3 linked regions of the Sus scrofa genome follow. The protein of the gene in region 1 interacts with the protein of each later gene in a biochemical or structural test. Links are inferred from orthologs where the notes say so. Each region holds a gene or a part of one and is shown on either strand. Other genes may lie near its edges. The genes, in order: ADRB2, GRK2 and GRK6.

The links.
Region 2: the proteins of ADRB2 (region 1) and GRK2 form a complex in vitro, tested with the Homo sapiens proteins (2 studies listed by BioGRID, with this or other methods). The link is inferred for Sus scrofa from reciprocal best matches to the Homo sapiens genes ADRB2 and GRK2.
Region 3: the proteins of ADRB2 (region 1) and GRK6 form a complex in vitro, tested with the Homo sapiens proteins (2 studies listed by BioGRID, with this or other methods). The link is inferred for Sus scrofa from reciprocal best matches to the Homo sapiens genes ADRB2 and GRK6.

What each region holds. Positions count from the first base shown.
Region 1 is NC_010444.4:150,027,504-150,037,839, reverse strand, and holds ADRB2 (beta-2 adrenergic receptor), read right to left. Parts: upstream 5,192-10,336; 5' UTR 4,533-5,191; intron 4,278-4,532; 5' UTR 4,045-4,277; coding exon 2,788-4,044; 3' UTR 2,249-2,787; downstream 1-2,248. UniProt on the Homo sapiens protein: Beta-adrenergic receptors mediate the catecholamine-induced activation of adenylate cyclase through the action of G proteins. The beta-2-adrenergic receptor binds epinephrine with an approximately 30-fold greater affinity than it does norepinephrine.
Region 2 is NC_010444.4:5,221,435-5,231,699, forward strand, and holds the start of GRK2 (beta-adrenergic receptor kinase 1), read right to left. Parts: upstream 6,074-10,265; 5' UTR 6,011-6,073; coding exon 5,898-6,010; intron 1,938-5,897; exon of another isoform or gene 1-1,937. UniProt on the Homo sapiens protein: Specifically phosphorylates the agonist-occupied form of the beta-adrenergic and closely related receptors, probably inducing a desensitization of them. Key regulator of LPAR1 signaling.
Region 3 is NC_010444.4:80,520,397-80,530,537, forward strand, and holds the start of GRK6 (G protein-coupled receptor kinase 6), read right to left. Parts: upstream 6,813-10,141; 5' UTR 6,653-6,812; coding exon 6,601-6,652; intron 2,944-6,600; coding exon 2,848-2,943; intron 2,285-2,847; exon of another isoform or gene 2,085-2,284; coding exon of another isoform or gene 2,051-2,084; intron 1,906-2,050; coding exon 1,793-1,905; intron 1,675-1,792; coding exon 1,597-1,674; intron 1,246-1,596; coding exon 1,145-1,245; intron 811-1,144; coding exon 718-810; intron 621-717; coding exon 557-620; intron 425-556; coding exon 284-424; intron 30-283; coding exon 1-29.

The sequences.
Region 1 (10,336 bases):
TAGGCCTTAAAGGCTCCTGATTGTCAAAACCCTTAAAACTGATCAGAGTTCTTGTATTTAAAGTATTCCCAAACAGACATGAATTAGGCTAAAACTCCCTTTTAGCTGGAAGTTTATGAAGTAACGTCATAGCTGAGTTTTTAATTAAAACTACATTAGATAATCCTCTAACCAAAAGAGTATGTATGTATTATTGTCCATGGGAGTTAGACATGATGATGGTAAGGTTTCCAACCTTTTTTTAAAATAAGCCTATGGTAAATTTCTACCTGGAATGGCTTGAAATTTCTGGCAGGTCATAAAGAGTTAAGGAATCTCCCAGTTTCCCTAAATGCTGAGAAAAAGGAATGATTCTCTTGTCCCTACTGCACATTATTTGTTTATTGCCTGTGTTTTGTATTACGGACCTGAAAGAAATGTTAACATCTGCAGAAATGAATTGGTTAATGTGCCAGTCCCAAGGAAAAGCTTCCGCGATTGAGAGTGAGGGCAGAATCCCATGATAATGTGGTAGAGAGAATACACCAATTCTGGGCACGACAGCTGGGTTGCCTGGCATTAGCCCTGACTCTGACATCCTTGGCTTCTTACCTTGGGCTGATCTTCCCCCTTCTCTTTGGATGTCAGATGCTTTCTGTGCTTTCTCTTCCAAGTCTGAGATCCCCTGAGCCTATGAGGAGTGTGAAGATTAGCTGGAGAAGTTGCCTGCATCTCTGAGTGTAGGGCCCAGAGCAGGGGAAGCATGTGATAATGGGTATGAAAGCCCTTGGAGAAAAAGCAGAAGTGCTGAACGGCACACTCTCCAATGTGTGGAGGCATATTCTAGAAAAACAGGCTCCCAACTTTCTCCTGAGAGCTCAGTACTCATCCAGACACCCCATCACTGCACTGAGAGGAAGTAGAGAAGACACATGCTTTTCTGGTCGGAGACCTTGGGTGGGAAGGGAAGGGAAGGGAAGAAAGAAGTGGAGTCAGCTTCATGAGAGTGTGAAGTGGCAGTGAACCTGCAGGTTGATCTCTCCAGGCTGGCGTTGCCAAGGAGGACGATCTACTCGGTCAAACCTGGGCCAAGCGCTGGCTCAGACACCCAGGCAAAAATAGAAAGGGGTGGGAGAAGAAATGTGTTTACTTTTGTGATTTTCCCTTACTGCCTCTTGACAGTATGATCGTCTCTCCACAAACAGGCAGTCGCGGCTCATGGGCCTTGCCTTCATGGATAAACCCTCCCCAGCAGCTCAGTCTCCCCGTCCGTGTCTGGGCAGCAGGGGAGTAGGCTTGGAAGGAGGGGAAGAACATTGCCCTGGGGTCTGGGTTAATGGCGAAAAAAATCCCTCTCTGACGCCCTGCAAAATAAAGTGGTTACATTAGGCAGAATCTAAAAATCTGTTTAGATTTTTGAAGTTTAAAACTGAGGTTCTCAACCAGGGGAAATTTCATTCCTTAAGGGAGGGGTATTAGGAAATGTCTGCAGACATTTTTGGTTTTCACAACTCAGGAGGTGTTCCTGGCGTCTAGTGGGAAGAGGCCAGGGATGCTGCTGGACACCTGGCGATGTATAGGACAGCCCTCAACATTGGAGAATTATTAGAATTATTAGCTGAAAATGTTAATCTTGTGAGGTTGATAAATCTGGATTTATACTGGAGACTAGAGTCGGGGAAGGGGGGACAGGACGCACAGCAGGACAGAGAAGGAGGGTTCAACCCTGTTTCTCGGTCATGAGCTGTTCACCAGTTAAGTGTTCTCCAGCTTTCCCCCTACATCCCATGGCCTTTTTATTTCCCTTGGAGTTACCAGGCTTTGAGTATTTTCACAAGAACTTCCTTATCCTTAAAATGCCAAGCCCTGGTGTACTACAAAGATCTCTACCCTAAGACACGGTAAAGATAAAAACAAGCAGAAACCAGCAGAACTGAAAGGTGGGTGGTGAGGGCACACAGAGGGACATAACTCTGTTCCTATGAGTCAGTGTTTCTGATGTAACGACACAGAACACTGCATAGGAAGAGCGAGATGAACTACGCTGGGAGCGGACAGACTGCTAGGGGGACATCAGCAGTAGGAGAGAGACAGGTTTGCAGCCGCAGATTCAAAGGCAAACAAAAGGGTTAAGCAATCAGTGCATGTCATTCCTGTGTCATTCCACATTAAGTCACTGGGCACTTATTATAAATAGTTACCTGCGGTTTCCAGTGGGGGAGGAACCACACTCCAGTCAAGGGGTTTTGGAGAAACAGGTGCAATGAAGTCATGGTCAAACAATTTATTTACTGTAAACTTTAGACTTTGCTCAGGAAAACAACCAAAGCTGCCCCTCAAATCCCTGCCTACAACACCCCGTTTGAGCAAATAAGAGGGGTGGAGAGAGTCCATGTTCACAGCTGAAAGGTCCGAGAGACTCAAGATCCTCCAGTCCAAGGGTGCAGGAAGGAAGGTCTCCTTCAGAAACAAATTGCCAGCAGCAATATATTACCCCTAATACTTGATCAATGAGGTAGATATGCGGAAAAGTCATCAAAACATACCAGCCCCACGTCCTCTGGGACCGAAGGCCTGCAGACATAAACTTACACAAGTTCCATGCAAAGAGGAACTGAACTGTACAAGAAACAATCACTCAAATAATGTTTTCTCTTTTTTACAACTTAAAAAAATAAAAAATAAAAAGGCAGAAGGATGTTCCTCCTCCTGCACATCTCTATAGACGTTCATTCTAAATTCATCACACTCGAGTTGTTTAGTGTTTGGCTGGGAGGGAAAGGGGCGCTTAGAAAGTAGACACCTGCATCACAGCATGGAGTCATTTGTACTACAGTTCCTCCCCTGTGAATCAGTGCTATCATCGGGCACAGTACCTTGCCGGTGTGCACAGCCTTCCGGGCCTGGGGGCTCCTCACACAGCCGTTCGCTGTCTTTCTCCTCCCCCAGGTAACAGCCACTCTGTTCCCCTGTGTAGTCAGTCCTACCGTTGCTGTTGCTGGAGCAGCCGTTCCCATAGGCCTTCAGGGAAGACCTGTGCAGGCACAGAAGCTCCTGGAAGGCCATCCTGAAATCTGGACTCCGGCAGTAGATGAGGGGGTTGAACGCCGAGTTGACGTAGCCCACCCAGTTTAGCAGGATGTAAACTTCCTTGGGGATGAGGTTGTCATGGATCCCGTGCACAATGTTGACGATGAAGAAGGGCAGCCAGCACAGGGTGAACGTCCCCATGATGATCCCTAGCGTCTTGAGGGCTTTGTGTTCCTTCAAGCAGAACTTGGAGGACCTCCGATGTCCCGGCCCGCTCCGCCCATCCTGCTCCGCTTGGCTGAGGTTCTGGGCGTGGAAGCGGCCCTCAGACTTGTCGATCTTCTGGAGCTGCCTTCTGGCTACTTGAAAGACCCTGGAGTAGACGAAGACCATGACTACCAGGGGCAGGTAGAAGGACACGATGGAAGAGGCGATGGCGTAAGGCTGGTTGGTGAAGAAGTCGCAGCAGGCCTCCTCTGCATAGCAGTTTAAGGCTTCCCGGTGGGTGGCCTGGTACCAGTGCATCTTAATGGGTAAGAAGGAGATAAGGCCCGACACGACCCACACCATCAGAATGACCACCCGGGCCTTGTTCTTGGTCAGCAGGCACTGGTACTTGAAGGGGGACGTGATGGCAAGGTAGCGATCCACGGCGATCACGCACAGGGTCTCAATGCTGGCCGTGACGCACAGCACGTCAATGGAAATCCAAAACTCGCACCAGAAACTGCCGAAAGTCCACATTTTCATGAGGATGTGGCTGGCCCCAAAGGGCACCACCGCCAGGCCCATGACCAAGTCAGCACAGGCCAGGGAGGTGATGAAGTAGTTGGTGACCGTCTGGAGACGCTCGAACTTGGCGATGGCTGTGATGACCAGCACGTTTCCAAACACGATGGCCAGGACAATGAGCGACATGACGATGGCCATGCCCACCACCCATGCCTCGTTCCGCTCCTGTGGGACGTCCTGGTCCGGCGCATGGCTTCCGTTGGGCGCCAGCAAGAAGACGCTGCGGTTCCCGGGCTGCCCCATGGCGCGCAGGCGGGCAGGTGAGCGCGCTGGCAGCCGGCGCACCCGCCGCGCCTCAGCGGGCCGACCTCCGGCGGGGGGCTGCGGGCAGCGAGCGGGCGCCTAGAAGCCTCATTCAGCGGCCGTGGGGTGGGTGTGGAGGGGGCGCGTGGTGCACTCAGCTCCCGGGGTGCTCGAGGCTCGCAGTGCCGGCGGGTCTCTGCCTGCGCTCCGGAGAAGCCGCCTCGGAGTGCGCGCTGCCCGTTATGTGCACAGGACTTGAGGGGAACTGCCCTCCCCGTGACGTGCTCCAACTTGGGACCAATGGCGCGCGGGAAGCCCCAAAGGGGCGAGGCCCCCCCCCCCCCCCCCGCCCCTTCCCTCCCTCTCCCGCCTCCTCCTGGGGCTGGCCCGGGCGGGGCCCCGCTGCTCCCTGCCGGCCGGTCGCCACTCCCTCCAGGCTACCCAGGCTGGCCCCAGGGCTGAAGCTGAAGTTGGGGGGTGCCGCTTACCAGCGAGCTGGGAGCTGCGCAGTCTTCTGTGGCTGCTACCTGCCTGCCCGGGCTTGTCGTGAGGCCTGAGGACCCTGGGCAGAGGGTAGTGCGCAGGCACTCCCTCCTATTCGGAAATAGACGAGAATGAGAGTGCCCGCCAGGACACGCACGGACAGGCACAATTCACCTGGCAGACGTGCACGGACTTAGACGGAGCCACAGCCACCGACACGCAGACACACCCATCCAGCACACCGACAAGCACACGCGCGTGCGCGCACGGACACACACACACACACAAGCAAATCGGCGCAAAGTCAACCTTAACTAACGCAGAGACGTGGTCAGGAACAAACCCAGCAGCACCCAGAACCACAAAGTCATAGGCACACACGAAAAGAAGTAAACAACACACTAAGGGCCACGTGGAGGCAAGCCGGGAGTCACAGCCAAGGACGTCCCCACCCATGTTCTACAAACCCTTCTCCGGCACCCTGGATCTCCGTCCTTTCCTCCCCAGCATGCGGACATTTCGCATATTCCCTTTCAAACATTTGGCGAGACCTCAGGAGGTGACTTCAGCAGCTGCCCATTTCCTCAGCTCGCTCGCTGTCAAGGACTTTCGGTGCTCTCCTTGGGAATCTGCAGGCACTGAGACAGGCTTTTACGCTTGGGATTTCATTCAGACCTGGGCTATCCATGCGTGTGTTTGGGGACAGAAAGAGAAAGTTGTATGCTTTAATTTTAATTCTAGTGAGTGTGGCATCACTCCTTCATTATCTGTTCAAGTGAAAATGTACTGAAAATAGAATAATTTTTCTTTGAAGCTCTACTTCATTCATGCCTGGGCAACTAGAAAAATCATCTGCTGGGTAGTTTGGTGATCCGAGCCATATGAAATTGCTGCTATTCTATAATCTCTGCTTCTAAAACATGGCAATTTATTATGGTTCACATTACTAAGAATGTGTAACATTAAAAATGTTTTGAGGCGTTCCCGTCGTGGCGCAGTGGTTAACGAATCCGACTAGGAACCATGAGGTCGCGGGTTCCATCCCTGGCCTTGCTCAGTGGGTTAACGATCCGGTGTTGCCATGAGCTGTGGTGTGGGTCGCAGATGTGGCTCAGATCCAGCGTTGCTGTGGCTCTGGTGTAGGCTGGCAGCTACAGCTCCGATTAGACCCCTAACCTGGGAACCTCCATATGCCGCAGGTGCAGCCCAAGAAATGGCAAAATGACAAAAAAAAAAAAAAAAAAAAAAAAAAAAAAAGGTTTGAAACCACAGAAAGGAAAAGGTATTTTTTCTTAAAAAAGTCAGACCAAGCTTCAGACGAGGTCATTTTCCATGAAATATTAGCCTTTGCATCTGGCATGTGACTTCACTGTTAAAAAGAAATTAATTTTCAGGGTTTGATTTTTACATGTATTAGTAGTGTCTTTGAAGAACTGAAAGTGTTTCACTCAGTGTAACCAAACATATTTTCTAGATTACATAATAACTTAACAATGGCTAACATTTATGAAACATTCTGCTATGTGCTTTTCATGCATTATTCCATTTCATCCTTCCCACAGTCGCCTGGTGGTGTGTGTGCTGGGGTGGGTGGGGCGGATAGTTATTTTTAATTTAATTCACAAAGGGGGCTGGAAGAGGAGAATAGCTTGCCCACAGGCACAGCCTGGCAATGCCAGGCAGGAGCTGAACCCAGTTCTCCCTGATTCTAAAATCTCTTTTTTAATCCTTTCAATGTACTGCTTTACCATGTGCAGAACAGAGTGGAGGGTAGAGAAGGATTACAACTGGAATTGGAATACTGCATTCCAGTTTCTTTCTAGCTCACATTCCTTAGGCAAATCCAAAATCTGGAGCCTAATTTCCTCTATGTCTAAATGTGCAATAAAGTTGCTTCTTTTGAGCTAAATGAGAACCAAATGATGTAATGATAAATGAGATAGTGCTTTTGCAAGTAAAAACTTCACTCAAGTAGGGTTATAAATGAGATTGATATAAATTACTGAATAGTCCAGAATATGTTGTTAGTGTTCACTAGTGGACACTGAAGTACTTTAGGACAAAAGGACTTGGGCATTTACTCCAGAACTCAGAAGCAAAACCACATGCCCTGTTTAACTTCCTTCACTAGCAGAAATTGTTTTTGCATGACAAATGCCTTAAAACACAAATATTTCCCATAAAAGCCACAGATATTAATTAAGGATCTATTATGCTCACATAATTTTCAAAATACACCCGTCCCATATTTGTGTTTTCCAAAATTGGCTCTGGCAGGATGCATTTTAGGAAGAGGCCTTGTTTGTTATGCAACATTTCTTTAAATACATGTCTTCTCTGGAATTGTAGAACTGAGCCATTTAAAGCTTCTGTCCTATTTGTGATGCTGTGCAATAAATAAGCATATTGTTTAACTCTCTTATAACCAAAAAAGAAAAAAGAGAGTCCTTTTAGAACAAACCTCATGGATCATTTAGGCATACACATAAGTCATTAAAAATTTAACTTTGAATATTTTGGGAAACACCTTTGAAAAAAGCCACAAACTCTAACTCTAGAAGGGAAGACGGCTTGGCTTACATCAGCACCATTCCAGACCTTTGCCCCACCAGCCCCGCCAAAGGGACAGTACCTTCCCTTCTCATTCTGTTCCCCTTTGTCTTCCCCGCATCACCGAGTCTTTTCCCGACCTTCTTTTAGAGTTGTAGGCTTAGAGATAGTTGGAGCAGCAGAGAATTTACTAGACCCTTTACTTTATTCCTCCTGCTCCTCCAGTTTGCAAGTGAGGGACTAAAGTGCAGGAGCCAGAAGTGCCTGGTTGGAGGCAGCAGAGAAGAGGGAGTCTAGCTCGCTTCCTGGCCTCACATGTTTTCACTGCCCACCATCACGTCTTCATTCCCCCGCAGAAGACTGTGACGAGCACAGCGTTTTGGGCACAGCTTTAGTTGAACTGGAAAGTTCTTTGTAGACCAAAGACACCTGCATCTGACATGACAAAGCAGGCTCTATTATGGTGATCGATAGTGTCTAATTACATACTTTTTTTTTTTTTTTTTTTGGTCTTTTCTAGGGCCGCTCCTGCAGCATGTGGAGGTTCCCAGGCTAGGGATCGAGTCGGAGCTGTAGACGCCGGCCTGCACCACAGCCACAGCAACTCGGGATCCGAGCCGCGTCTGCAACCTACACCACAGCTCATGGCAATGCCGGATCCTTAACCCACTGAGCAAGGCCAGGGATCGAACCCTCAACCTCATGGTTCCTAGTCGGATTCATTAACCACTGTGCCACGACAGGAACTCCCTCTAATTACATATTCTGTCCATCGCTTTAGACACCATTTGTTTTTTCCTGCCTGGCAAACAGAAAAAAAAAAAATCTTGATTTACCAAACAAATGTCTGAAAAGGAGTAAGAGTCTGTGAGCGAAGGAGTGCTCTCACATGAATATCTGGATGCCTTAGGAAAATCTTATCCCAGTCTTGGCTGAGACAAGATTCCTTTCATCTTTTAAAAAAAATGTATGTTGAGGTATAATTGACATGGAACATTATATGGGTTTCAGGTGCGCAACGTAGTGATTGAGTATGTGTGTGCATAGGTGGTGAAATGATCATCTTACGTCTAGTTACTGTTCGTCACCACGCATCATGGTTAGCTCTCAGGGTTTGCTCTCTTGGCAGCTTTGGAGTCAGCTCTGCGGTGTTACTGACCAGGGTCAGTGTGACGCACATTGCATCTCCCCGGCTCATTTCTCTTGAAATTGGGAGCTTGTGCCTCTTGACCCTGCACCCATTTTATCCTCTCTCCATCTCCCCCTGCTCCGGCAGACCCCATGGGCTTCTCTGTATCTGTGACTGTCATTTTGGTTTTTATTGTTTTTTTTAGATTTCATATGTAAGTAGACTCACACAGCCTTTGTCTCTCGTTGACATGTTTCACTTAGCATAATTCCCTTACGGTTAATCCATGTTGTCGCAAATGGCAAGACTTCATTCCATTTTATGGTGGAGTGATAGTCCATTTACATGTGTATAAATATATTTATAGTATATATAATATATATATCCTTTATCTGTGTATTTACCAATGTATACTCAGGTTGCTTCCTTATCTTGGGTATTATAGATAATGCTGCAGTGAATATGGGGATGCATTTATCTTTTTGCATTAGTGCTTTAATTTCCTGCAGATAAATACCCAGATGTGAAATAGCTGGATCATATCGTAGTTCTGTTTTTAATTTTTTGAGGAACTAAACGCTCCTACTTTTCCACAGTGGTAACACCAACTTACCTCCCCTCCAAGAGTGCGTCAGGGTTGCCTTTCCTCCACATCCTCACCAGCACGTGTTATTTCTGTCTTTCTGATGATAGCCATTCTGCTGTGTGTAAGGTAATGTCTCATTGTGGTTTTGATTTGCATTTACCTGATGATTAGTGATAATGAGCATCTTTTCATGTGTCTGTTGGCCATCCATATGTCTTTGGAAAAATACCTATTCAGATCATCTGTTCATTTTCAAAAATCAGAATTTTTTAATTTTCTATTGAGTTTTATGAATTCTTTATAGAATTTTGATATTAACCTCCTATCAGATAAATGATTTACAAACATTTTCTCCCATTCAGTAGCTTGTCTTTCATTTTGTTAATTGTTTCCTTAACTTGCAGAAGTAAGTTTGGTGTAGTTCTGTTTGTTCATTTTTGCTTTTGTTGCCTCTGCTTTTGGATTCAGATCCAAAACTTTATTGCCAAGATCCATGTCAAGTAGTTTACCGCCTCTCTTTTCTTCTGGTTTTATGCAAAGTGGGTAGAGGGACGGTCCCTCAGCGTAACCAAGACCATGTATTCAAACTCAGAGAAAATATCATACTCCATGCTTTTCCCCTCAGATCAGAAATACGATGACGGGGGTGTCCACTCTCCCCACTTTTATTCAGTGTGGTGTTGGAAGTCTTTGTCAGAGCAATTAGGCCAGAAAAAGAAGTAAAATGTACCTACATCAGAAAGGAAGAAGTAAAACTGTCTCCATTTATGGATGACATAATTTTACATAGAAAACTTTAAAGATGCCACCAACAAACTGTTAGAATAAATGAATTCAGTTAAGTAGCAGGGTACAAAATGATATACAAAAATCGTTGCATTTCTATATACTTGACAACAGACTATCAGAGGGAAAAGTTAAAAAAATCCTGTCTACAACTGTGTCAAAAAAGAGTAAGATACCTAGGAATAAATTTAACTATGGAGGTGAAAGACTTGTACTCTGAAAATGCTGTCATTGATGAAAAATTCAAGAAGGCACACAGAAATGGAAAATATCCTGGGCTTATGCCACGGAAGAATTCATGTCGTCAAAATGTTCACAGTACCCAAGACAAGCTTCAGATTCACTGCAGTCCCTATCAGTGCTTTTCACAGACGTACAGTAAACCATCCTAAAATTTATTTGGAACCACAAAAAACACCAAGTAGTCAAATCAGTCTTGAGGAAGAAAAACAGATCTGGATTTTGCTCCATGCTCCTTGGAAACTGCATTACAAGGCTATAGTTTTCAAAACAGACGTATAGATGAATGGAACAGGCTAGAGAACCCGGAAATAAACCTGTGCTTAGATGGCCGGTTAATTTATGACCAGGTAGGCAGGAATACCTAGTAGGGAAAGAGCAGTCTCTTCAGTAAGCGGTTTTGAGAAAACCGGACAGCCACACACAAAAGAGTGAAACTAGACCACTGTCTCGTACGATACATGGGAACTAACTCAAAATGGGTTAAAGAGTTGACCTCAGTCCTCAGGAGTCCCTGC
Region 2 (10,265 bases), about 140 Mb from region 1:
GAAGGGCCCTCAGCTGCCTTTGTTCCCCCCAGTCAGACGAGCACCCGGGCCTGGCTCCAAACGGCTCTCCCCACCTCCCTCCTGGAGGCCAGGCCAAGTCACAAACTTTAAGGTCCAGTTTCCCCACTTGTAAAGGGAGGATGTCAACAAATGCTGAATCGGCACCACCCAGCTGGGCACTGAAAATGGCCGAGAGGACACGGCAGAAGGAGAGCTCTCCCAAGATGCCAGCCTTGCCATGAGGGCTGTCAGCTCCCTCCTCCTCCAGGGCCCCCCAGCCTGCCCTGCCTTCTAGATCGCGATCAGAAGCCACGCCCCACACCTGCCCCGTCCTCGGAGGGTGGGGCTACGGCCAGGCGGCCTCCTGATTGGTGAGCGCTCCCCGGGGCTGAGCCCACCAGCTCTCCTGGGGCCAGAGTGGTGGCAGCGCCACTTGGCTCACCGACCAGCCCCATGCACATGGGCCACTCCGCGGCGGTTGGTGGTGGGCAGAGCTCGGTACCTGCCCTGCCAAGGTGGCAAGGGCCCCTTGGCAGGAGCTGCCCGGCCCCACTGCCTGTGACCAGGGCCGCAGCCGGAGGAGAGAGAGCACCTCCCCCCATCCCAGCGAGTTGGGGGGGACCCGGCGGAGGGGGAGAACTTCCGGTACCTCCAGGCACCATGTGGCTCAAAGGAAACGCTAAGTCCCTTGCTCTGTGGCGCAGCGGCCTCACGGACGACTCCCACTCAGGGTCACAGACTCATTTATGTGGACTGGGAGGGACCGCAGCGTCAGAAGCAGACACTCATTTTGACGCCGAGGAAATCGAGGCCAGAAGTAGCAGAGCTGTTCACTCAGAGTCCCAGGCCGGCCCTCCCCGAGAATGGGCCTCTGCCAGGCAAGGGCCTCCCTCAGCCTCTGTGGGATTGCTGGGTGAAGGGTCTCAGGGGACCCCAGACTCGTGCCCTGGCTGCCTCGGCCCCCACCTCCACCAGGCTGGGGGCAGCCTTGGCCGGCACCTGGCAGGTCGGGGGCTGCGGTTCCTGTGCTCCTTGTGACAGGGATGACAGAGCAGCTCAGGACAGTGCAAGCTGGCACGGGGGCTCCAGGCCTGGCAGGTCTGGTGCAGCCCCACCGGGAACTGTCAGCTCTAGGAGACGACGGTTAAGCCCGCCGAGAGGAGGCTGTAGCCGAGGCTGAGGTGCTGCTTTGTGGCATTTCCAGGAAACCTGGCACCGTGGTGGCAGCGGTAAGAGGAAGTCCTCTGGGGCATCTTATTAACATTTCTCAATGACTCTCCTTGGAGCCAACAACATCCTCAGAGCTTGAGGACAGGGCCACATACCAAATGGGAAAGACTAACCCTGAGCCAGGGAAGATAAAATGACACCCACTGGGCACCACCCACACGAGCCCACCTCGTAGCAACCCAGATTCCCCATGGCATGGCGGCCACAAAGTGACAGCTTGCAGAATGTGCGGGGAAAAAGCACTCTCGCAGCTTGTCACGCATCACTGCTGCCACCACGTTAGAACAAACGCGGAGCCAACTTCCAGGGCTCGCTGCCCTGCAGCTCCCAGGAAGCCCAGCCCCAGAACGGCCTCAAGAGTCAGAAGACAGAGCTGCTAACACTGGAAAAGCCCCTGCTGAAACCCTGCTCTGCGGCGGGCCGACAGGCTCCCCTCCTCATGGGCGACGAGGCAAAGGCAGGCATGTTTCTGTCTTAGAAAAGGCTGCAGAGCCCTCACGCTGAGCCTCTCCTGACTGAAACAGATCCGTGACTACTTGAGTGGAAGGCACCCTCTCGCATCCGGCCTGCAGAGGGTCCCGGCCCCTCGAGGCCACAGGAAAAAGGGGCAGGTGGGACGGAGCCTGTGAACTCCTCAAAGACCCTCGCGTCCTCGTGGCTCCTGCTGTCTGTTTCGAGGCAGGAGCATGACGTCCCGAGAGCGCCAGCCAGGCGCAGGCAGCCTGAACCCAGTGGCCCCCGAGAGCTCAGCCCCTGGGCAAAGCCTCCCCGGGGGCTCGGGGCGGGCAGGAAACGCCGCTGCAGGCGTGCCTGCCCCTGACGTCATCGGGAGTTTACTACTAAGGATTGATCGTGCATTAATAGGACACATTATTCCTGGGTTGTCAGAGCCCAGACTCCCCGGCACGGGTGCCGACCTGTGATGCTCACACTCCCTCCGAATCCATTCACTGAGGGAACGGCAGGCGGCCGAGCAACTTAACGGCAAAATTGTGAAACCCAAGCTCTGGCAAGGAGAACAGATGGGAAACGACATCCTGGAGACCCATTCCTGGGGCGAGTGGGGGCTTCAAAGGCCCCGAGGAAATGAGTGCCCCAAAGATAATCTTGTTTTCAGGGCTGGGAGGGGAGAGAACGCCGCTGCTGGAGTGGAAAGTTCTGGGTAGGGGATAAAGGCTGGGAACAGCAGGGTTTCTGCTGGTGATGGAGACGTGGAGGGAGGAGGAGAGGAGAAAGCCATTCCCTGCACCCGTTCCTTCCACAAATCCAGGGCAGGAAGTCCTGGGAGCAAAGAGTTAACAGGAACGGAGCCGAAGCAGGAGGAAGAGCGGCGGGTCTGGGAGCGGGGAAGCCAGCAAAGGGCAGGGAGGAGGAAATCCACGGTGGGGGAGGGACCAGGAAAGAGCCGCGGAGACCGGAGGCTGCAAGAGGCACCGGCTCTGACATCTGCCGCTGGGGCTGCTGCTGTCACCGGGGAGGGCAGGGGCGTCTCCCGGGACCGCCCGGCCGGTCTCCTCCGCCAGGAGCCCAGAGATTAATTACACGAGGCCTCCGTGGTCATATTAAGCAAATGACGATAATTACGGACGGCTGCCGCTGCTGAGAAAGGGAGACAGCAGCTCCTTGGGGGAGAGGCACAGACCACAGTCCCCGAGGGCAGAAGGGGCCAGAGAGGTCACCTGTGAAGGGCGGCTGCCTCCTTGGACCAAGGGGGAAACTGAGGCAGGCTCGGCTGGGATGAGATGCGCCCAGGTCCCATGTGAGCTGGGACCGCAGCAGGATTAGAAGATGGGGTCCCAGCGACCCAGCTGCCTCCTCCACGAGAAGGGCGAGAAATGGGTCTGTTTCCTCGGATTCTACAGGGTGACAGAAGGGGAGGCCCCTGTGCCAACTCAAAGTGGCGCTGTGCCCAACAGCTCCTGCTCCCCAGCCCTGAGAAGTCGGAACTTCGATGCCAGCCCCAGCTCCCGGCCAAGCCACAACTCGGGCACCAGCCGCAGGGAGGCTGCCAAGACGGACCACCCCAAGGTGGGAAAAACTCCAAATGGCACCTGTCACAGACAGACCTTGGCCTTTCTCCCCGACCTTGACCTCAGGTGGGCAAGACATGACCTCAGGTGTGGAGCTGAGCCTTGTGACCCAAGACAGTTATGGTGCTGGGGGCTGCCCTGCTGCTTCCAGGCCACCTCACAGAGCCACAGCTCCCCGGGCAAGGGGTGCCAACTGGCACATTCCGCGAAACAAGGACCGGGTGAGGGCGGAGGTACGGAGCGGGCGTGCGGAAGAAATGAGGCACAGCAGGGGCAGAGCACGTGGGAGTCCAGAGACCCCAAGTGCCATCTCTGCCTCGCCTCCGGGACCAAGTCTCTGAGCTTCAGTTGCTTCAACTATTAAATGAGAAAATACCACCTGCCATGCTTGCTTCCCACAGTTTTGTGAAAAGGATAAAATGGAGTAAAAGGCACTCTGCAAACTGGGACGTGCCAGGCAAACGTACGCGACAGCCTAATGATGTCCAGGGCAGGAGGCCTCTGACCCAGGAGGCCTCTGACCTGTGGGCAAAGCACAAAGCAAAGGACGGCGTCTCCTCCGAGGCGGGAGGCCCCTCGTGGCCTTGGTGCAGGAACGGCCACTGCTGGGGCCACTAGTCCGTCTCATGGCGTGGGCCATCTAGCCAACATCATGCCGCCAGATCGTGACCCTACGTGAGGACTCACAATACCTGGTTCTCCGGCTCTTGCTGTTCCCCTAAAACTCCCGGCCCACCTGGTTTCAGACTCGACACAGTCCTGAAATTTCTTGAGCAACTACTACACGCGAGGCACGGCCTTGCCAACCCCACAGGTTGGTTTTTGGCTCGACTGAGATGACACATGTCCCAAACAAGTCAATTATTCTCATTTCCACCATCAGGCCTACCGCCGCCATCACGATCATGGCGGGTAAAGGGACAGGGAAAGGACCATCTTGGTTCTCGGGGTTCTAGCACCTGCAGAGCCAACCCAAGGCGGGGCCCCGTCGGCAGCAAAGCATTCTGGGACGAGATTACCCAAACGCAGAGAATTCTAGAAAAGGCCCCGCCTCACAGTTTACACAAGTCCGACCCACAGGAGGGTCTTGAGGCCCGCGGCCACCACGGAGAGTCACTGCGAACCCCAGAGGTTGACGCCCCCATTTCCTCCCTCGTGGCTTTGTCATTTCTGAACTCATTTTGTTCTAACTGTCGCTGCTCCCTGGACAGCCCCCAGCTGACAGTCAGTCTGGTTCCTGTTTTGAGAAATCTGATTGCAAATGTCTTAAAAAGGGGGGGGGTGCCCTAACGGCCTTTTCAAAATGCAGACCGATTTTCCTCTCCCAGGCCTGGTGTTCAGTCAATTCGAAAGCCAGCAAACAGGGCCCAGTGGAGGGGACCGGAGATGCTGGCCCCGCAGCTTTGGGCCCTGCTTCAGACACTCAGGATGCCACGGTCACAGTCCTTATTTCGCACCCACCGCGTTTCACAGATGAGAACACTGAGGCCCTGAAATGGGAAGGGACTTGCCCAAAGTCACATGATAAGACCATGACAGCTCAGAGGGGCCCAGGCTCCTGGGCCGGCTGGGCCGGCTGGGCCTCAGCATGGCAACTCCCAGGCAGAGATAGAGGAGTTGCTGGGACTGGTGGTAGGCCCGTGGCTCTTGCAGTTGCAGAATAACAGGTCCCCGCTCAGGCCAGAAGGGTGGCCACATTGTGGAACCAGCAGCCGGAAGCCCTGATCTGGCAGCCAGGCACCACCCTGGACTACCTGTGACACTGAGCAGGCTACTCCCATCTGGGCCTTCGGCTTCCCCACCTGTTCCACACTGGTTCTACCCACCCATGGGCTGCTTGACGCTCAAACAATGGGAAAATACTCTAGAAGCCATAAAACACTGGACAGCCTGAGCTACTGCCTGTATCCTGTCTGTTCCTGTCCCTAAATCCTGAACAGTTTAAACTTTGATATCAGGTGCAATGTCATCAGTTGTCTCACAGAGAGGTGGCAGCCGTGGTCCAGCTGCTGCAGGGGTGCCGGGACGTCCCCTGGCAAATGGCACCCACAGGGCACCGCAAGCAGGGCCTGCCGGAGGACGAATTCGCGGGGAGAGGGACAGATGGTGTCTTAATGGGATGGGGCGCACACCGTACCCTGCTCCCCACCACCGCCCCAGCCCCTAAAGCCGAATTCAAACCCCACCCCAAGCCAACGACCCACCCGAAGAATGGGGAAGACCCAGTATCCCCCAAACCTCAGGCAAGTGTCCACCCGAGGGGGCCAGGGTGGGGGCAGTGGCACCCGGGGGGCGGGTGCTGGGAGCAGGGGCAGCGGAACGAAGGGAGGAAGAGTCCGGCCAGGCAGATGGGGCAGGCAGGGGAGGGGACCCAGGGCTACCCGAGGAGAATGAAGGGGAGCAGGGAGCCCCTGGGGCCGACAGAGACCGGGGCCAGGCAGAGTGTGTGACGGGAGAGGGAGGCACAGTGGGGCAGGGGGCACCGGGCGGGTCGGGGAGCCAGGGGAGCTGGCAAGCCCGGCGCTGGGGCGCGCCGGGTTCAGGTGCACAGGCCCGGGGCGCCGGGGGCAGAAGGGGTCCCGGGGCCAGTGCCCGGGGGTCTGGGGCCGCGGGGCGCGGGGCCGGCGCCCGCCTCACCTGGGCTCGGGCAGCAGGATCTTCTTGCTGGCGCGCGCGGCCGGCGTGGCCTTGCTCTTCTCCATGGCCATCAGGTAGCTCACGTCGGCCAGCACCGCCTCCAGGTCCGCCATCTTGGCGGCGGCGGCGGCCTCTCCCGCCGCTCGGCTCCGCTCCGCTCCGCTCGGCGCGCTCGGCCCGGCCCGGCCGCTCCGTCGGCCTCGGGCGCCGCCGCCCGCCTGGCCCCGCTGGGCGCCCGCGGCTCCGCTCGCCGCGGCTCACAGGCGGCGCCGCCCCATGGCGCCGGCTCGGGCCCGGCCCCGGCTCGCTCCGCTCCCGCCGGGACTGCAGTCGGGCCGCCGCCGCCGCCGCCGCCGCCACCGCCACCGCCGCCGCCGCCGCCGCCGCCACCCGCGCCCCGGAGCCGCCGCCGCCTCCGGCCCCGCCTGCCGCGCACAGCGCCAGCGAGCCCGCGAGGGGCCGGGCGGCCGGGCGGCGGCGCCCCCTGGAGGCCGCGCGGGTGGCCTGAGACTGACCCCCGGGGCCACCCGGACCCCGTCTCAGCTCCGCCCCGTGGCCTCGGATCTCGGACCCCAACCTTCAGCCGAGACCCTGACCCCGGACGTGGAACACGGCAGGGACCTGGCCCGAAGAAGCCCCCAGACCCAGACCTGGACCGCAGCTCGGATCCCAGACTCCACAAGAGGCCATGGCCGGGACCGCAGACTGGCGTTTCAGAACGTAATCCCAGGGACTTGGGTCTCAGAGCCTGGCTGTAACCCCTGACCCCTGACCTTGGACACAGTCGGAAATCGCACCGCAGACCCGGATAACATTCCTGACCCCAGACTCCGAACAGGACCTCAGACCTAGACCTTGGACCACCACCTCAGACTCTGACCATGGCCTGGGATCAACACTCTGAGCCCACCCCCCCGCCCTTCACATCCAGACCCTACCACTGACCCCAGACCCAGATTGTGGACCATGACCTCAAACACTTGATGCCACCCACGGACCACGACCTCCATCCCACCTTGGTTGCTGACCCCAACCTTGATCCCACCCTCAGACTCAGACCGCTATCATGACCCTAAACCCTGGACTTGAGAGCAGGGCCCAGACCCAGATGTGGGCCATTCACTGCAGACCAGGGTTCTAGACCCAACATCAAAAACTCTGAACATGGTGAGTTCCCGTCGTGGCGCAGTGGTTAACGAATCCGACTAGGAACCATGAGGTTTCGGGTTCGGTCCCTGGCCTTGCTCAGTGGGTTAATTATCCGGCGTTGCCATGAGCTGTGGCATAGGGTGGTGGCTACGGCTCTGATTAGACCCCTAGCCTGGGAACCTCCATGTGCTGCAGGAGCGGCCCAAGAAATGGCGAAAAGACAAAAAAACCCCAAAAAACTCTGAACATGGACCCAGGACCAGGACATCCAACTGGGACTGAGACTGGACCTAGAACATTGAACAGGTTGCCATGGACCTGGGAGCTGAAAAATGCAGTCAGACTCCAGACCTCCATGAGTCCCAATCCTCACTCCTCCTGCTCCAGACCCAATCCTGGCCCCAGGACTCCCACTCAGGACCAAGGACCCTGCATCGCCCCCCTTGCCCCACTACCCCCAGGACCTGGGAGGGCATGGGGGGTCACAGTGCTGCCTGGCCAGGGGCACTTACTCTGCTGAGAGCCCATGGGGACAGGAACCCATGTGTCTCCAAGCAGCACCCGCTATCACAACATGCCACTCTAGAGCCTCTCTCTGCTTTCCAAGGTGACAAGATCCCCTCCCCGTCCTAGGTACTTGGGGCCCAAGCTTCACGCCAGTTTGTGGGCCAACAACCAGTACCCTTTTGCAAAGCAGGAGACTCTGTGCACTTCTCAGCCTACCTTCTGAAATCAGCCTTGGCAGAGCCTGGAAGATGGCAAGATCACTTGAAGATGGCGAGGTCCCCTTCTCAGTGGGGGCACCACCATCCACCCAGATGCCCAAGCTAGAACTGCAGACATCATCCTTGACCCTCTCCCTCCTCCAACCCTGATCTGTCACCACACCCTCCTATCTGGCCTCCTGAGGCTCTTCTTAAACCCATCTGCTTCTGGGGAGTTCCCTGGTGGTCCAGTGGTTTGGACTTGGTGCTTTCACCCCTGCAGCCCGGATTCGATCCCTGATCTGGGAACTGAGATCCCACATCAAGCCACTGCCCGCTGTGACCAAAAAAAAAGATAACAAGAAAAAAAGGTAAGCTATAATACATGGAGGGGATAAGCAACAAACAAAATTTTACTGTATAGCACAGAGAACTATAATTCAGTGTCCTATGATAAACCATAACAGAGGAGCTCCCACTGTGGCACAATGGGCTAAGAATCCCACCGCAGCAGCTTGGGTCACTGCAGAGGTGCAGGTTTGATCCCTGGCTTGGCACAGTGGGTTAAAGGATCTGGTGTTGTTGTAGCTGTGGCTCAAAGCTGCTGCTTGGATTCAGTCTCTGGCCAGGAACATTCATATGCTGTGAGTGTGGCCATTAAAATAATAGAACAGGGAGTTCCCACCGTGGCACAGCGGAAATGAATCTGACTAGCATTCATGAGGATGCAGTTTCGTTCCCTGGCCTTGTTCAGTGGCTTAAGGATCCGGCATTGCCATGAGCTGCGGTGTAGGTCGCAGATGTGGCTGGGATCCAGCATTGCTGTGGTGTAGGCCGGCAGGTTTAGTTCCAATTCGACCCCTAGGCTGGGAACCTCCACATGCCACGGGTGGAGCCCTAAAAAGACCAAAAAAACCCAAAAAAACCCATAATGGAAAAGAATATCTTTATTATATATATATATATATATATATATATATATATATATGAATAAATTTGCTATACAGCAGAAATTAAGACAACATTGTAAATGACAATACTTTAATAAAAATAAAAATTATTTAAAAAAACCCAAAAACCTGTCTGCTTCTGAGGATCCCTGTGGCTGCTGCGCTAATGCAGGCCCTGACCAGAGATGCTTCTCCCAAATCTAGGTCTGACTGAGAAGCAGGGCTCCAGGCCTTCTTGGGCTGCTGAGGGTGGGGAATCAGAAGGGCCTTCAGGCCCCACCCCATTCTGCCCAAAGCAGATCAGGTGAACAAGTTCCTTAACCTGCAAGTCAAGGTCTTGGATGACTGGGTCCTGCTCCTCTCTCAGGCTTGTGCTGCCACCACCCTCTATGCCCTGGGACCCCCACCAGCCCACCCATCTGTTGTTACCTCTTTGCCTTTGCTTTTCCCTCCTCCCTGGCGAACACCTGCTTCTTCTTTAAGAGCCACCTCCTTTAGGTGGCCTTCCCCATTCCCCTGCCCCCAGCTGGGCACCTCTCTTGTTCTGCACTCATGCCTATTTCCTGGATTTGAAAATATCATCAGGGAGTCCCTGTGGTGGCCCAGCGGAAACAACTCTGACTAGGAACCATGAGGTTGCAGGTTCGAGGTTCCTGGCCTCGCTCAGTTGGATTAAAGATCCGACATTGCCGTGAGCTGTGGCGTAGGCTGGCAGCTGTAGCTGCGATTAGACCCCTAGCCTGGGAACTGCCATATGCTGAGGGTTTGGCCCTGAAAAGAAAAAAAAAAAAGGAAATATCGTCAATTGCAAGATGCATCATTTCAGGTTTTTGATGGGGTGGGATGTGTGTGTGTGAAGCTTTATTAAATGTTTGCATCAATTGGAAAAATGCATCTTGATGTTAGAAATGCAAATGTATCTTAAGAAAAAAAAAAAATGGCCTTCTCTCAGTGTTAATTGATGCTCTCAGGTCACCGCTTGTCCCTGGTGCCCACCACGGGACCTGGTACAGAAAGGTGGTGTAGTCCACGTTTGATGAGTGAATGAGTGACTGAGGGAGTGAGAGTCTCAACTCAAGGTGAGGCATGGAGTTTGGGAGAGAAAGTGGCCAGAAGCACAGGAAGATGCAAAAGGAGGCCTCTATCTTCCCGGCTCCCACCCCTCCCCAGCTCGTCAGGACCCTGACTCCAGCTACACACTGGCCTGGAGTTTTTGGAGCAGCTCCTGTTTTAAAAATTCTGTCCAATGACCAGAGTCCCTGTGAATTCTGAAAAGCTAGGCATCCTGCTCCGGGAAGTGGCTCCACCTCCCCGCACCACCTGCAAACCCAGAAGGCCCTTCCCATCCACTGCCCAACCGGAAACCCAGGCAGGCCTGAAGCAGGGATTCTTCCAGAGAGCCAGTCTGCAAGGCGCCACTGGTTGATTCCTGGGACCCAGGAAAGCAGCTCCTAGAAGCCCTGGGCTGGGAAGAGGGGAGGCTGTTTTTTTGGGTGGTGCTGCCCTCTGGTGGCTGAGGGAAGGTCGATTGTAAACTTGCTTTTTCCAGGCTGGCTTCTTCAGCC
Region 3 (10,141 bases), about 70 Mb from region 1:
TTGGTCTCATAGGCGTAGGCCAAGCTCACCTAGGGCCAGGGGGACCCGAGCTTTCAAACAGGGGCCATGGGCCATTTGGTGGTGGGACTGGTGCCAGCCACCCCCCAAATCCTTCTTAGTGCCACTCTGCAGGGCCCAGCCTGCTCCCCAGGCCAGGTGTCAACACCCCAAACCCACCATTCCCAGGCATCTCTGGGGGCAGGGTGGGAAGAGACCTTGGTCCAGTGAGTGGGGAGGGCAGCATGTGGCCGGGAGAAGGGAGGGGTCTCCTGTCTGTACTTACTACAAACCTACTGTTCACTTTCTCCAGGATCTGCTTCTCATTGAGGGCCATGGCTTCCCCTTTCCGCTTCTTGATCCGCTTCTTCTCCAGCTTCTTGCAGGCATACATTTTGCCTGTCGCCCGCACCTGGCAGGCGCATACCTGTAGCCAGGACCAAATGGGGACCAGTTATGCTCTCCTTGGGGCTACTGGGACTCAGAGCTGGGAAGGAGGTGGTCAGGACCCACCCTACCCCAGCCCTGCCCTCTGCCGGGCTCTGGCCTGGCCACTCACCTCCCCAAAGCCGCCTTTGCCCAGGACACGGTACTGCCTGAAGGTGTTTTTGGTCACTGGCTGCCTGTGGGCAAGGGGTCAGGGAGCAGAGGCTAGCTGAGCAGGGACCGTGAGAACCCCAGCAACCTGGCCCACACTAGCCCAGCCTTCAAGGAACTCACCTTTCCAGCCACTTCCACTGCAGGAAACGGTTGAAGTAGATGCTGTCGAGGTAGTCGGCAAAAGGGGCCACGCTCAGGTACTCATGGGTCAGCCTATTGAGAAGGGCCAGCCTGCCGGTCAGCCCCTGATTTCCCAGGTTATCAGCTTGATGGGCCAGGCCCCCCATTATGTGTATGCTCAGCTGGAAAGGCATTGTCCTCGGCCAACCCTTCTGCTAACCCACTTAGGCAGGGGGCAGGCATCCTGTGCTGAAGCCGTGGATGCTACAGAGAGGAGGCACCCTGCCCAAGGCCACACAGCAGGGGCAAGGCTGGGGTGAGAGGCTGAGCTCCTTCACCAGCTGCTGAACTGTTTGCAGCCTTCTGGGTCCACAGAAGCCCCCTATTCAGGACACAGTGCTCAGCCTGTGGGCAAGGAGAGGCTTACCGGGTGAGCTCCTGGAAGAGGTCTTTGCAGGGCCCTTGCTCCAGCTGCTGGGCACAGTTAGTCACCAGTTGCCGGGGAACCTCGGGGATGAGGTCAGGACCCTGGGGACAGGCCACACACAGGTGAGTGCAGAAGGGTCCCTCGGCCAGCTGCCCACTCCCAGGGCAGACACGGCAGAGATCTCAGGCCTCTGCTAGGGGTGGCTGCAGCTGGCGGTGCATCAGCCTGCCCAGTTGCTGACCTTGGTTCCTGCCGCTCCCCTTGAGGCAGCATGAAACAGAGCTGCTGGCAGGCTGCGGGGCCCAGAGCCCTGGCCCACCCTGCTGGGCTCCATGCCTACAGAGCTGCCCAGTGAGCCTGGAGCAGCTCCAGGGCAGTCTCTGCCCAGACTGTGGTCATTCCTCTCCCCATCGCTGAGCTCTGCCCTCATCCCTCCATCAGTGCTCACTGACCGTGTGGCTCAGAAAATTCTGCATCAGCCGCCGCCCACATGCCTTCCGCTTCTCATCTGGGGTCACTTCATACTCAGCCTGCAGGGTGGGAGGCAGAGCAGCTTGGGGTTTGGGTGGAGAAACAGGTGTGGGGAGACAAGGCACACATGGCCTGAGACCCCTGCCCACCCTCGATGTTGGGCTGGGCTGCACTCACCACCCCGTCCAGGAAGGCAGTGCAACGGGTCAGCTCGGGCCTCGTGGCGCAGAACTCTCGGAACAGCAGGCGCCCAATGGGCTGCCGCTCGCACAGGCTGTGGTAGTCACGCTCTGCAGGCAGAGGTGGGAGCCGCTGGGTTCCCGGACCTGGAGCCTGCTGGCAGGGCGCTCCTGTCCACACTGCCAGGCCCGGGGCCCCCACCAACAGCTTCCGGCCCCCCAGTATGGCAACCGTTATCTCCTTTAGAGCCCTCACCACAGCACTGAGGTGGCACTACTGTTATTGCCATCACAGCTTGGGACTCCGAGGCCCAGAGGCTAAGTGACTAGCCCAAGGTCACACAGCCAGGAGTATGGCTCCAGGGCCTGGGTCCTCACTTCCGGCCGCTGTGTCCTGGTTCACACCACTTGCATACGTCACAGTGCTGGGGTTGGGTGCGGTCTGTGAGGTTCCGGCCCGGCCCGGGCCCAGCCCACACCTGCTGCCTGCCTGGCGAAAGTGTGGGAGGAAGCTGTGGCTTCCGGCAAGCTCGAGGCTAGGCCTCCGACCCGGGGATGGTACTCCCAGCCCACGTGCAGGCTGTCAGAGGGGGCCTGGGTCCTTCTGATCAAGGCTTTGCTGGGCACCCCCAGGACAGGGCTGGGTGGAGCTGAGCACAGGCCTGGGGTTCCCCGGGCAGTTGATCTGTGGGCTGACTCCAGCCCCCGCCACACCCTCCGTCCTCTGAGCCCTGCTCATCCGGGCCTGGCCCTCCCTTCCGCTGCTTCCCGCAGATGGCCTCAAATCTGACCCCGTCCCACCCCCTCCAACACCTACCCCAACCGCCCCCTGCTGTCCTGTGTGCTCTCTGCCCTCCACCCATCCTAAGCCCAGGAACTGAAACTGGGTTGGGTGGTGCAGCCTCAGTCTCTCCGCTCCCCGAAACCCCTCAACCCGGTCCTCCACCCCAAAGCAAAGTCTCCAGGGGGGCTGCCCCGGCACCAGCAGGATCCTCTCACCTCTGCATGGCACTGCCCCCCTGCCCCACCCCCCAGTCTCTACTCAGGCCTCACCAAGGCTGAGCCGCAGCTCTTCACACTGGCTGATGTGGGGGAACTGCAACATCTGCCGCCATTTCTTGCTTTTGCCTTTGCGATTCCCGCCACCGCCTGTTGGAGTAAACAGCAAACGGATGCTGGGTCAGGCACTGGGTCTCAAGTCCTGCTATGGCCTCCCGGCCACCCTCAGTGCGGTCCAGAGGCCTTCAGGGCCTGACCTAGGCCAAACCCACTCTGGGAGGCACCTCAGGCCTTCCTTCCACATGCTCCAACATGTCCCCACTGGAGGACGCACATGGTCCCCTGGGCCTTCCTGCTAGGGGCTCCTGGGCTGGAAGAGCCAGGAGAGGCAATGGAGTCCAGGTGGCTGGGGGAGGGAGGGGTTCCAGGAAGCTCTGGCAAGCCTCAGCTGCTTCCTACCCGGTAGGACTTTCCCAGGTGGAGAAAGAGAAGGACAGGACAGTGGTGAGAACTGTGTAAGTCATGGCCCAGGAGGGAGATGTTCCAGGACATGGGATCATGCCTGAGAGATGCCAGGGGCAAAGGGCAGCTTGGGGCCCAGGGAGGCTCCAGGCCTCTATTCCAGGCCCTGCACCAGAGCTATCAGAGTCTCAAAGTGGCACCAGGAAGGCTGGCACTCAGGATGCCTACCCCTGCTTTCCTGGGTACCTGCCCCATTTTACCTAGCTGACCCCTCATTGTAGCTGTTGAGACCAGGGTAGCAGTGCAAATGCCTACAGAGCCAGAGCCAGGGTATGGTAAATGGGAGACAACAGGGAGGGGTAGGGCGTGTGGTGAACCAGACTCGGCTTGCGCTTCGAACAGGGGTAGCTGCAGCTGATTGCTTGACTGTTTCTAGGCAGGAATGCTGGCTCAGGGTGGCCAGCTCTTCTGACTTTCAAAATCAGTTGGGGGTCCAGGCTGTTATATGAAAGATTGGTTCCTGTATTTTAAAACCCACTGTAGCCAAATAAACACAACACATTAAAGAGCTAGCCAGCTGTGGCCTGTGGGTCATGGAGTTGAAAATGGTGGAAGGGGCCTGAGTCTTGAAATCTCACAGACCTGGGTTTGAACTTCCACTTTACACTTCAAGCCCATCGCTTGTCCTCTAGGGACCTCAATTTCTCCATGTGTACTTGAGGTCCAAAGCCATCTCCAGAGGTATTGTGAGGGTGACCGAGAGCCTATCCAGTATCCAGCAGAGCTGTGGCTAGAGGTGGGCCCCAGCTCTGAAACTCAAGGGCGACCTCAAGCCACCCCTTTCCCTTGCCTGGCCTCAGTTTCCCCTGTGGTTTCCCCAGCTTTGTTTCCATCTGGCCTGGCCGAAGGCACGTGGTGCAGGAGGAGGAGCCATCTTCTAGGGATAGGGCAAGGTTGTGTCCCCTGATGGGCTTTCTGACCTAAGCTGTCTGGAGGAGGAAGTCTTGCAGGGTACCCATTGGGAAACCTGCTAGCGGCTCTCCTGCAGCCCACACCCAGCATATGCCAGTCATTGCTCCACTGTAAGTGAGCAACAGACCCCCCACCCCCAATCCAGGGCAAGGCCTCCCCAGAAGGGGAACTCCGCCCCCACCCCCGCAGGTCCCTCACCCAACCCTCCATCCGCCTGCTACCCCCACCAGTTACTTCCTCCTCCCTCCTCCCAGCCACATCAAGGCAGCAGCAAAGAGTCACATGCAAATATCCTGTCCTGGAACTGCCACCAGAGTCAAGGGGGCTCCTCCCCACCCAGCCCGGTCCGCTCCCTGTTTCTCTGAGAGCCTGGGAAAGGAAGGGGGACCCCCAGTGCCACCCCACTTCATCCTCACAGCAACTCCGCCAGACCCGGCCCAATCTTATGAGAAAACAGGCCCTCAAATGAATCGATTTGTCCAAAGTCCCAAAGCCTGGAGGAGTCCAATCCAGCTCACTGGGACCACAACCAAAGCTCCTCTCCCACCACAAATGTGCAAGGCATCTCTCAGGTGTTCTCTGAATACATACAATCCCAAAACACTCGGAGCCTCAGATCACTTAGGAAGCTGGCAAAAGCCCGGCCCAAGCTGTTACCCAACTCACGAAGGGGTTCTGATGCACCTGGTCTATGGACCAGGATTCAGGACTCAGTGACAAGCGGGGCTTCCTTTAGTTTTCAGTTCCCATTCCCAACTCTTTCACAAAAAGAGTTACTGAAGTTCAGAGAGAAGAGACTTGTTTACAGCTACCCAGGTGGGAGGGGCAGAGCCAGTTCAGATATTCCAGCCAAGACACGGGTCCCAGTCTGGCCATAACCCACTGTGCATCACCCATGGCCTGTCAGAAAGTGCCCACACTCTCTGGCCAGGCAAAGCACTGCTCTCAGTAGGACTGAACTGACTACAGCCCTGGGGAGGGAGGTCTGGCCAGGCTTTCCCCACCCCTCCTCCCTGGCTGGCTGGATGACGAGGCAGAACAGAATCGGCAGATGCCCCCAGAGGCTGGGAGGAAGGCCTAGCCCCAGGACTCGATAAAGGACAGGAGATAAGGAAGGCTCTGGGCACTGAGGACCCAGCCTGCTGTGCCCATTTCCAGGCAGCACCTCCCCAGGGTCAACCTGCAATGGGCAGGCAGGGGGCACCAGATGCTGTGCCAGTTGGGGGTTCCTCTGGTTTTCCTACAGACTGTGCTGGGGACATCCTATGTCGTAGGCCTGGGTCAACCCGTCTCATTGCATCCTGGGGGCTAGTCCCTGAGCCGAGCCTGGGTTTCCCACTTGTAAAATAGATCAGAAAGGTGAAGCAGATGGCTCTTTCAGCCTGGAAGCCCATCAAAGAGTAGAAAAACTGCCCTGACCTCCCTGCCCTAGAGTTCCGAAAAGAAGTGTCTTCTCTGCTGGTCCCCAGCACCCTGGATAGGACAGGACATAGAGTAGGTGTTCAGTGATTACATTACTGAGGTGGTCAATGGCAGGTGAGGAGCAGACTGACCACAAGGCAATGGGGGCCAGTCTGGTCCTTCTGTGTCCCCAGGATCCTCATAGAGCAGGTGCCTGGTAACATCTGAAAAGCTCAGCAACACTAGGTTCACCCCGCCAGCTCCCTGTGCCAGGCCTTGCACTCAGTCCCACCAGCCCAGCATGCTCCCTTCCTTCAGAGCTCAGCTTCCAGTTATTTCTGTGCCCCTCTGCCCCACTAGTCTGGGCTTCCTGAAGGCAAAAACAGTGACCCATTCCCCTCTGTCCCCAGTGTCCTGAGGCACTGAGCAAGAGGACGTCTTGCTGGTAGTCTATGTGACCAGCTTTCCCCGCCTCGGGTGGGCTATGCTACTGCAGAGTCTTAGTTAATTCATTCTCCAAACCTTTTACCCGTGCACTAACTTTGTGCCGATCCAGGCTGGGCGCCGGAGTTTGGGCCCGGGGCACGTGGGGAAGGCTGCCCCTTCCTGGGGCATCTTCTTACCTCTCTCACCTGGGAGAGGCTTCCAGGACTGAGGTCCCACCCTTCCCTCTTCCTTCCTCTCTCCTTCCCTCACCCCCTCATACACACACGCACGCACACACACACACACACACACACACACACAAACGCGCGCACGCGCGCGCGCCGTGAGGGCGGCGGCCTGACCCCCGCCCTTTCCTGGGCTCCGGCTCCCTGGGGGCAGGTGCGGAGAAGGACCATGGGCCGGAAGGGCCCCTGTCTGAGCGAAATGCTGGGCGCGGAGAGAGCTGCCCTAGGGGATCGGGCGACTAGGGCGCCCAGCGGAACTCGGAGGCCGCGCGACCGCGTTCTCCGCACCCGATCGCCTCACCTTCCCGGGCCTTGAGTAGCACCGTGTTCGCTACAATGTTCTCGAGCTCCATGGGCTGCGGCGCCGCCGGGCCCGCCGGGCCGCGCCGCCGGCCGGGATCGCGCGAGGGAGCCGGGGCCGGATGACGATCGGCGCGGCGCGGCTCGGCTCGGCTCGCAGTGACCGCGCCGCGGCCTCCCGGGCCTCCCCGGCCGCCGCCGCCCGCCGCTCACTCTCCGCCCCCTCCCGGGGGCCACCCCGGCGCCGGCCAGGCCCGCCCCGGCCCGCCCACTGTTTACTTTACTTGGCCAATAACCGGGCGGGTGCTCCCCGCGCCGTCTTCCCATTAGACAACTTCTTCATCATCCCCCGCCCCCAGAGACAGGGATTCGTTCAAAGGAACAGGGGGGCGGGACTTAATACGTCACATCTTCCTAGTTGGTCTACGATGGGGTTCAGCCTCTATGTTCGAATTTCTGGGCCTTCGTAGGATACCGAACTGCCAATTAGGGACGAGCCCTCTGCTGGGACAACGGAGGTGGGTCCTCTGGGTCACGCCCTGGAATTCTTGTACTTGATTGGATGAAGGAAGCGTCGGTCAGCCTTAGCACTGCACTCTGATTGGGCTATTAGCTGTGGGTGTGGCCCGGGTCCCTTTGACTCGCCTTGGCTTTTCCAGGGTTTTTAGGGGATGCATTTAGTGTTCTGGGCCTCCTCCCGGCCGGCCTCCTGCAGGTTCGGGCCGTGTATCCGGCCGTATACTTTTGGGTCGGCCCATCTTGAAGGGCGCACATCGGAAGCGGGGAGAGGCCCAGAGAAGGCTGGGGGCCTCCCTAGCTGCTCCTCGGCCTCCGTCCGGGCCACCGCGGGCGCCCCCGCCCTACCCCCACAGCCGGATGTTGTGATTTCTCTCCACCCACAGGGCCTCGCCCTCCCTCGGCCTCTGCTGCCTTATAAGGCAGCTCTACCACCCCAAGACGTAGGGACGAGCTCACACCCATTGTACAGGTGGGGAGCTGAGGTCTAGTGGCTGGCTCTAGGCAGAAAAGTTGGGAGAAAATAAGGCCGAAATTTTACAGCTGATCAACACCTTCTAACTCAACATCCTACTCCCTCCACCCTCACTTCACACACCAGGAAATGGAGGCTTGCCCAAACTTGCTAGTAAGGCAGAGCCAGCTTCAACTAGGCTTCTCAGATCCCTATCCATTCATCATCCAAAAATACAGAGAACAGCACCTTGTGCCAGGCCCTGAGCCAGGTGCTGGGGAATACAGTAGTGCCAGTAAGATAGCCAGTCTCTCTGCCTACCTTCTAGGAGAGGGATAAAGATGATAATCCTATAAATAAACAAATAAGTGGGATGGTCTGAGGGAGTGGTAAGTGCTAATAAGACATCAAGACAAAATAGTGAGGAGAAATGATCTCAGGTTGACATTTGAATTGATTCAACCACGCAAAAATCTAGGGGAACAGTTTTAAGCACAGGCAACAGCAAGTGCAAAACCCTGAGCCTAGAGTAAGTTTGGTATGTTCAAGGAACAGGAAGAAGGCCTGTATAGTTTCAAGGCCCAATAGTCTGAGATGAGATGAAGGAGCAAGGATTCTAGGTAGATCCTGGAAGGCTTTGTAGATCAATGATGAGGAGTTTGTTGTTTTCCCTAAATAAAATGGGGAGCCTTAGGATGATTTATACTTTAAAAAGATCACTCTAGCTAATGGACTTTTAGAGGGGCCAGGAGTGGAAGCACAGGGAGCAGTTGGGAGAAGACAGAGTGCGGCGGCTTGGAAGAAGGTGGCAGTGGAGATGGAGAAAGTGCATGGATTTAGGATACTTTGGGAAATAAAGATAAGTACCTTGAAAAAGGGAAATCCAGTGGCCAGCAGGACAAAGGGCAGGTACTTCACCCAGTGAAGCCTGCTGTGTCCAAGTGAGATCTAAGTGTTGAGTGAGAATGTATAGGTTTCAGAGGTAACATGAGTGGAGCAGGAAAGAGCCACTGGATGCAAGTTCATATTCAAAATTCTGTAGAGGAAGTTAGTAAGGGCTCAAGCATTTGGTCAGAGCACTGAAGTAGAGTTTCAGGTGCAAGGTGGAATGCACTTGAGGGACAAGAAATGAGGCTCAGGCCTTGAAGAGGCCTGGATGAGGAAGGTCCTTGGAAGCTAGGTAAGGAGGAGGTTGGACTTCATTTTGAGGGTAGTGAGGAGCTGTCCAGGGTGTGTTAAACTAGGGACTAACTTCATCAGATTTGCTTATTCTGTGCCACACTGTGGAGGATGTGCTGGAGTGAGGGTGAAGGGTTGGGAGAGAGGGGCTTGGGCTGACTTATAAACACCTATTGCTTTGGTGCCCAGCTTCTAAGCACCCCTCCCCTTTGGGAGGAAACCTATAAAATGCAGAGGCATGCCCTGGTTTCCACTAGGGAAATCAGAGAGGAGGCAGAACTTATTCTCCAAGGTCCCTGGTAGCTGGAACATGTTTTCAATGCCTGCAAGCAGGTCTTTGAAATCCAAAGCAAGTGATTAACATAGAAGCATCAGAGGCCCATTTAGGGTTCATTAAGGTGGCAGTGGAAGAAGAAGGGGAGGTGGTCAAGCCAGGTCCTTTCTGGGGCCAGGGGATTCAGCAAGCGCCTAAGAACATCAAATCAATTCTTTGTCTGCCCAAGTTACCCAGAATTTTCTCCATTGTTTGGAGCCATGTGTCCTGAGTAAGAGAGGTGGGAGGTCCTTTGAAGAGGAAATATTAAAGAGAGGAATGATGCCCCATGCTGGGGCAGTGGCCAGGTTAGAGCTATCATGGAGCTGGGATGAATAAGACTTGGCGACTTATTTGGGGTGAGGAAGGGAAGGTATCACACATGACTCTCAGGTTCTGACTCTTCAGACCCATTCTCTGTCTATGGGCAAAGTGATCCTTTTTATTTATTTTTCTTTGCTTTTTAGGGCCGTGCCTGCAGCATACAGAGGTTCCCAGGCTAGGGGTTGAATCAGAGCTACAGCTGCTGGCCTATGCCATAGCCACAGCACCCCGGGGATCCGAGTGGTGCCTGCCTGCCACCTACACCACAGCTCACAGCTCACGGCAACACTGGTTTCCCTACCCACTGAGCAAGGCCTGGGATCGAATCTGCATCCTTATGGATAATAGTTGGATTCATTTCCATTGGGCCACAGCAGGAACTCCAAAGGTGATCCTTTTTAAAGGACAAATATTTCACTATTCATCTGACATATGCATATGCATTTCTAGGGTTTAACCTATAAATATAATTGCACTCAAGCAAAATAAGAAATGAATGTTCAAGGTTGGTCATTGCAGCATGGTCCAGAAATTCCAAATGTACTGATTGTACTTAATAGGGACTAGTTAAGATTTTGTCCTTTCCTGTATAGGAATACTATGTTGCTTTTTATTTATTTATTTATTTATTTATTGTTAATATATAATTTTGAATGTTTATTTCTTGTTTTCTTTTTCTTTTTTTGGCCATACCCATGGCATGTGGAAGGTCCCAGGCCAGGGACTGAACTTGTGCTGCAGATACAACCTGCACCA